Mus musculus: one gene and its partner. The protein of the gene in region 1 purifies or fractionates together with the protein of each later gene. This does not show direct contact. Links are inferred from orthologs where the notes say so. Each region holds a gene or a part of one and is shown in the gene's direction. Other genes may lie near its edges.

What was found. Proteins that work in one complex are often made in the same cells at the same time.
Region 2: the proteins of S100a4 (region 1) and Ppfibp1 purify together in Homo sapiens (co-immunoprecipitation; 3 studies listed by BioGRID and IntAct, with this or other methods). This does not show direct contact. The link is inferred for Mus musculus from reciprocal best matches to the Homo sapiens genes S100A4 and PPFIBP1.

What each region holds. Positions count from the first base shown.
Region 1 is NC_000069.6:90,602,528-90,606,545, forward strand, and holds S100a4 (protein S100-A4), read left to right. Parts: upstream 1-1,242; 5' UTR 1,243-1,279; intron 1,280-2,103; exon of another isoform or gene 2,104-2,231; intron 2,232-2,469; 5' UTR 2,470-2,484; coding exon 2,485-2,625; intron 2,626-3,212; coding exon 3,213-3,377; 3' UTR 3,378-3,518; downstream 3,519-4,018. UniProt on the Homo sapiens protein: Calcium-binding protein that plays a role in various cellular processes including motility, angiogenesis, cell differentiation, apoptosis, and autophagy.
Region 2 is NC_000072.6:147,017,494-147,020,993, forward strand, and holds part of Ppfibp1 (liprin-beta-1), read left to right. Parts: intron 1-1,540; coding exon 1,541-1,688; intron 1,689-1,966; coding exon 1,967-2,095; intron 2,096-3,500. UniProt on the Homo sapiens protein: May regulate the disassembly of focal adhesions. Did not bind receptor-like tyrosine phosphatases type 2A.

The sequences.
Region 1 (4,018 bases):
CATGAGCTTTCGAGGCTTTCCTAGGGATGTCTAGCTTGTGAGGGGTGGGACAGTAGCCAGCCTTTGCCGCTTCTCTTCTTGGAAGGGAAGAACATCTCTGCTCAGCCATGTGCACACAACTGGGACCGCTGTGGCAGGGGCCTCCTCAACTCCCAATAAAGAAATGTCTTCTTGGCTTACTTTTGTTTTTTTCTGATGGGACACACTGGGCCTTGGGACCGAGTCCTTGTTCCTTTATGCTCCTTACTACTGGAGGTAGGAGGCTTACCATGGAAGGCATGGACCCCCAAAGCGGTGTCAGGCCCTGTAGAAATGCACACATTTCAGGAGGGTAGGGGTAACACGTGTCCTATCAGATGAGACTGGAGGGTCTCTGTCTCTCTCTGTCCCCTGTCTTGAGATAGAAGTCCTTATCTTGGACTTTCAAGGAGGACAAGGGGCTCCTTGGGAGGTACTTCTGACCAGATGCTGCAAGGAGAGTATGGTTGTGGGAGCCCAAAGCCAAACCTCCATCTAACCTTCACTCAATCCCCGAATTTGTACCCTATCCTTAGAGATTAATCCTGACTCCCCCTTTTACCTATTTCCTCTTTAACTCTCTTCTTCAAGCTGAACATTCAACCCCGAATGCTCCTGTCATTCCTCAATATCCTTACTCCAGCTTCCATCCATTCGAAAACCTCCAGGCCACACTGCCACCCTAACTCCATCATGGCCTCCTAGGTATAGCTCCTACTTCATACCTGGGGTGGTCCCAAGGTCCCTCCTGACTTGCTAGCCTCTATCCTGGGTCTTCCTGATTGTGACAAGAAGCTGTTTAGGCTGGAGGGAAGTGCTGACATTGTCCCACTGGCTGGGGTCACCTCCTTCGTTCCTGGGCCACATATTTCCAGGGCAGCTCCTTATCCCTTGCCCATAACATCTCCATCTCCTTTCCTGTGGCCCACACCTCATGTCCAGGTTGCCCGTTCTCAAAGCTTCCTAAACTTCTGGCTGAGCTGTGGCTGCTTGGTGGTGTCCACCCCATCCAAGTCTCTGCCGTGCCCACTGGAGCTCACTCACTACTTGATTGTGCCTGCTGGGGAGGGAGCAGGAAGCCTGGTTCCCAGACTGGGCTGGTCGAGGGTGCTATGACATTTACTACATCAACCAACAGCAAGAGCACAGTATCCATGTTCCCCCATCCTCTGCATGGGCAGGGCCTGGCAGGGTATAAATAGGTCAGATTGTTGGGCTCTCCCCAAACCTCTCTATTCAGCACTTCCTCTCTCTTGGTCTGGTGAGTTGTGTTGGTCTGATAGCACTGCTAGCGGCATTAGAGGCTGAGGCTAGGGTAGAAGAAAGGGGGGCTGCTGGGGGAACAGATGTCTTTAATAAATCCAGATGAGAGATTCTGATGTGGAGGTTCATGTATGTGTGTGTGTGTGTGTGTTTTTCACGAGAATGAAAACCAAAAAAAAAAAAAAAAAAAAAAAAAGTGTATAAATGGCTACATCTGAGCTCCCGGAGGTTTTGAGATACTGAGGCTGGCTTGCATGTTGCTATAGTGTATATTGGTGGTGCTTGGGAGTCACTGTCATGCATAGGATGCTGACTCGTGTTGCTGGGTAATACAAGACAGTGTGTGGACACTCGGGTACAGGAAGCAAAGCGAAGGCATCAGTAGGCCTTTTTGTTTTACAGTATTTAAATTACAGTTTTTATTTGTGTGTATGAGCGTATGGGTTGGGCTGGAGCAAATGCCAAGGCGACATTGTGGGAGCCAAAGGACAATTTGTGTGGGAGTCAATCTGTTCCTTCTAGCATGTGGGCTGTGGGGATCAAACTCAGGCCCTGGAGCTTGGTGGCAAGCACCTCTACCCACTGAGCTATCTCTCCAGCACCCTCCTGCAGGCATTCGTGTTTGTAGTGTGTCTTATTTTTAATAGCCCTATGAACATATAGCACCTAGGCCAAGAAAGCCTGGCTTCCCCACCCTCTCCTCTTGCATCCCTACCTCTGCCACTTCATCTTACTCCTATTAGGCAGCTGGGGTTTTTCCACTTTTTTTTGTCTGCCTCTGGGCAGGCAGCCAGCAGCCGCGCCCAACGCTGGGAGGGAGAAGAATGGGCCAGGGCCTGGTGCTTGTGGTTGAGCTGTGGGAGTGAGTAAGCTGATGGAAAACTGCTGTTGTTGAGGCCAGGACTGAGAGGCACAGAAAGGTGCTGGCATGGATCTCCAGAGTTTGAGGGGTAGGCTTTGCAGGTTTCAGAGCCCAGAGCACATGTGACCTTCTTGCCATCAATGGGTCCCATTCCTCTGATCTCCCCAGGGGGTGAGGTCCATCTCTTAGAGAGTTGGCTGGGATAGAGCACTTAAAATGGGGACAGAATGAGTGTGATTTGGGTCATGCTCAGCAACACATATCCAGTTCTCAACACACTGTTGGCGTGGGTTGGAGAATGTTACTTTTGTGTCTCCTGCCCTTAGGTCTCAACGGTTACCATGGCAAGACCCTTGGAGGAGGCCCTGGATGTAATTGTGTCCACCTTCCACAAATACTCAGGCAAAGAGGGTGACAAGTTCAAGCTGAACAAGACAGAGCTCAAGGAGCTACTGACCAGGGAGCTGCCTAGCTTCCTGGGGGTAAGTGGGTCCTGCCTGTGTATTGCACACGTGATGCATCTGCAGGAGGAGGCTGGGGCTGGTAGGCACTAGTCTTGATGCAGTACTTAGCTATAGCTGGCATATATCCCTGCTCTGGGTGCTTGGTACGGAACCACAATGAACCACCTACTTCACACTAGCCCCCAGCTGAGACAGGCTTAGGATGAAGATAACTGAAGAGGCAGAGGAAAACCAAAACAACCACATTAGGCAGTCAGTGTCTGAAACCACAGCCTAGATCAGGGCTGTCTTTCCGGAGATGGGCACTAGAAATCGAGTTTTTATTTGTGAAGACATGATCGTGGAGGCACACAAATGCCTGCAGATTATCCTCTCAATAACACCTTATATTAGTTAACGGATCACTATTATGACAGTTTCCTATTAAGATAATTAAAACAAGCACGGGGAAGATGTGGTCACATCCTTTCCCAGCTATCCCATGTGTTCATCCCATAGTTTAGCCCCGAGGCTAGCAAGGAGTGCTTGCAAACCTTCCTGAGCTCCTGACTGGAGGCAAATATCTGGTTTGAGTTGGCTTCTAATTGCTCCTCTTCTACTGCCAGAAAAGGACAGATGAAGCTGCATTCCAGAAGGTGATGAGCAACTTGGACAGCAACAGGGACAATGAAGTTGACTTCCAGGAGTACTGTGTCTTCCTGTCCTGCATTGCCATGATGTGCAATGAATTCTTTGAGGGCTGCCCAGATAAGGAGCCCCGGAAGAAGTGAAGACTCCTCAGATGAAGTGTTGGGGTGTAGTTTGCCAGTGGGGGATCTTCCCTGTTGGCTGTGAGCATAGTGCCTTACTCTGGCTTCTTCGCACATGTGCACAGTGCTGAGCAAATTCAATAAAAGGTTTTGAAACTATTAGCTGTTGTCTGAGAGACTGGAGGCTATGGGCTGAGGGCTGTGGTAGAGACTGCTGGAAGTTGACCTGGAGCTTTGTGGGGGCCAAACTAAAAAAGGTTGGGGAGGGGTGGGTGGCTTATTTTGAGTACATTGCAAGTATGTATTTGTGTGTGCGTGCTTATGCATGCGTGCATGTGTGCGTGCGTGTGTGTTTGTGTGTGTTTACGTGCTCCTATATATGCAACAGAGCAAACTCCGGGAACACTAAAGGCAGAAACCACCAGAGGCTTAGCTTGAAAGGCTCCAGATGTGTGCTGTTAGCCAGCCCACAGTTCTCCCTCCTCTCTCCAGCACTGCCTCTGGGCTCAAACTGAAGTTGGGATGGGATTAAAGGTCACATCTGCTGCTGGTTGGGGTCTGGAGAGAAGACAACAGGCCTGCCTGAGTCATGAGGAAGGAGTCTTGAAGCCAGAGAAGAATGGAGAGGTGGACTGGCACTCAGCCCTGACATTTATAGGCCA
Region 2 (3,500 bases), on another chromosome or scaffold:
TTTCAGGGCACCTATACCCATTGTGGCTGTGGAGTGAGAATGGATCGACCCCCCTGGGTTTCTCTGAGGCTCTGTCATCTTAAATAAATTAAGATAAATTACACTCTTCCAGTTGGACAACTATTTCCAGCTACTCCTGTGTCCTTCTACGGCAGTACTTGATGCTTGTAGGCCAGTGCTGCTTATCATAACCCGTAATCACAGCTCTGCTTCATAGAAAACTCAACTTCTGCAACTTCTGCAAATCCTTCTGGGTCTCTTCCCCTGAATTTTTTTTTTGAACAAGTGTTATTTTCCTTTGTAATATGTAAAGTTTCACATTTTGGAAAACACCAGCCCTGTCTTTGGTTGTGGCTGTTCTCCAGGGATGGACAGTTGAAAGAACTTATATGATGCATCTGTGGAAGTCTGCAGTGGCAAGTGTGGATGCTGCTCTTTCCATGCCAAATCAAAACGACTGACTTTATATCTAAAGAAAATCTCACACATACCTGGCCACTCTTTTTCCAGTGTCTAATACATAATAGGCTGAGTTGGTCTCCCCCTCACCCCTTGAGTTAGGATCTCAGCCTGGTCTGGCCTTGAGCCTTTTGGGTGCTGGGATTATGAGTGTGCACCACCACGCCTGGTGACTCATTCTTTGAAAAGAATTGCTAGTCCTCTGTAACCGTGTGATCTAAATGGCAAAGGAGAAGGAGAGTTAAGAACAAAATGATATAGAATCTTAATTTGACCTCGAATAAAATGTGAGAGAATATGTTCAGGGGAACTGGGTAGTTTTAATATGTCCCACTTGACCCATTAAATTGGGCCTCTGCAGACTTCAGGTGTGGGACTCGAGAGTGAAGTGAGGCTCAGTAGTTCTGATGCCATCTGCCTGTGAAAGTAGAGCCATCTTTCAGGGCTGAGCTTAGAGCAGGCGAGCTTGCTGAGGGCCTAAGCAGAGTCTTGGGGTGCACTGTGGGAAGGATAGAAACTAGGGGCTACAGCAAAGAAGAGACAACCAGGCCACAGATCTAGGAGCAAGTCATGGCGAAAGATGTTAGAGGAAGAAATGAGTCTCACTTTGTAGCCCAAGCTTGTCTCAGAATCGCTCCTCCTGTGCCGGCCTCCAGGCCGGGGATTTACAGGTGTGTTCCACCACACACAGCTCTGTCACACACTTAACCTCAGAGGCCAATTTTAAGCTAATTTACTTTATGCAGGAGAGTAAGCTTAGGGGACATACACTTACATTTTTGTACTTCAGGGAACTTTCTGGAAGTCACTGATTTATAGACGCAAAGGGGAAATCTTTTTTTTTTTTAAGATTTATTATTATACATAAGTACACTGTAGCTGTCTTCAGACACATCAGAAGAGGGTGTCAGAGCTCATTACGGGTGGTTGTGAGCCACCATGTGGTTTCTGGGATTTGAACTCAGGACCTTTGGAAGAGCAGTCAGTGCTCTTACCCGAAAGGAGAATTCTTAAGTTGCTAAAAGCAAGAAGGTTTATATATTATTTGTACTCACGTGGTCTTATTCTATCCTTGGGACAGCTGAGACAGAAAAAGAGACAGCTGAGCACCTGAATTTGGCTGGTACATCTCGGTCAAAAGGTTCCCAGGGAACCAGTCCATTCCCAATGTCTCCACCATCTCCAGATTCCAGAAAGAAATCCAGAGGCATCATGAGACTCTTTGGGAAGTAAGTGGAAGGAAGGGCAGGTGGAGGACCTGACTTGTGTGCTGTTCAGGTGCAGAGGACAATGGGAAGTTTGCCTGGGCGTGGGTACCAAATCCCAAGGCTTTTTGAAAGAAAGACTGATAATGGGATGCATATACTCATTGGGCCTTGGTTAATATTTAAATTCAAATATCTGGACTAATGACATACAAAAACAAACAAACAAAAACCTTATGATTAACCACCAAGTCAGAAGCCTCCTCAGGTCTAACGTATGACCATGTGCGTTGTGTCCTTAGACTTAGAAGAAGTCAGTCAACTACATTCAACCCAGATGACATGTCTGAGCCTGAATTCAAAAGAGGAGGGACAAGGGCAACTGCAGGACCCAGGCTTGGTTGGTCTCGAGATTTAGGACAGTCCAACAGGTAAGTATACCTGTGATGTCACTATTGGCTGAAGTCCGACTTACTGCTCTGTCTGGGAAAGTGACTCTGCTTGTCAGTAGTTGGTGACAGCTGTGTGGGTGAGAGCAGTGTGAACATGTAAGGTGTCAGGATGGTTCTGGGGCTGAATGTTGATGTAGGTACAATTATGTGGGAAGTCTCAGAAGGCATAGTCTTGTAAAGGTGGGGCAGCCGAGTGGTCAGGAGATGGTTCTAGGGGCTGGGCTTGTGGCATAATAGCAGAGACCTAGTGTGGCAAACATGGGGTCCTGGTACCAACTCCAGCACTGAGAAGTGGAAGGGGAGAAGGTAAAAACTATGCTCTGGAGTCAGACTTCTTGCTCTCCAAACTCGTGTCCACCAGGCAGGTGACCTTGAGCTATGCCTTCATGCTCTGATTCACTTTCCTCTCACCACAGAGGGACCTAGCACCTATCCTTAAAGGTGATTGTGAGGACTGAGTTGATATCTGTCTAGTAACAACTGATCAATAGACATTAGCAATTTGATAGAGCCTTTGAAAGTGCATAAAGACACATTGTATCAGAATTCCTGAGCTTATCAAGACCATACATTGTTCGACCGAATTAATAAAAGCCTTGTCATACTAGTTGGGGAAAAAAGCTATGTTTCACTCACTAGGAGTCCAAGAACTTTCCTTGTGCTTTATTAAAACCTAGGTGGGTTTGGAGCTAACCATACTGACCTCCTGAGCATAAGAGGGCGGGGTTGGCAAACTTACAGAACAAGGTGTTGAATGCAGAGCCTTTTAAAGAGTAATCAGCTGGGAACACAGACTCCCACACAGGTGGAGCCCTGGACATGGGTTTCATCAAGAAGTTCCCTTTGGCCTTCAGATAACAGATGTTCCCACTTGCCATATGTCTCCTTAAGTACAATAAAGAACTCCCTTGTGCTATTAAAAAAAAGTTTTTGTCATGCACACACAATGTAAATTAATATTTTTTAAAAACTTAGCCATGTCACTTTGAAAATTTTTTCAAGCAGCAAAGCTGTGTAAGAAAAAGAAAATAGAAACTTCACTTGGAGTGTTCCTTCCTGTACTTAGCAGGGGCACATTATCTCCTCAGTGATTCTCTGCTAGAGAGAAACCATAATTCTGCTGAAATGAGTTCATAGTGCGCTTGAATTTCTTTCTGCCAAGCAGTATTTTCAGTTTGGGAGTCAGCTCTTGGGATAGTTTTTTTTTGAATGTGGAAAACATAACTTACATAGTTATGTAAGTTAACTGGGTTGCTTTAGGTCTCCTGGTAGGCCAGCAGCCTTGGCTGTAGCAGACCACCTGTGGGGCCTTCCAACTGGGGGCTCTTCACAGAGGCAGAGAAGATGCTGATCTGTTGCCCTGGCTGCAGTAGATCTCCTGGGA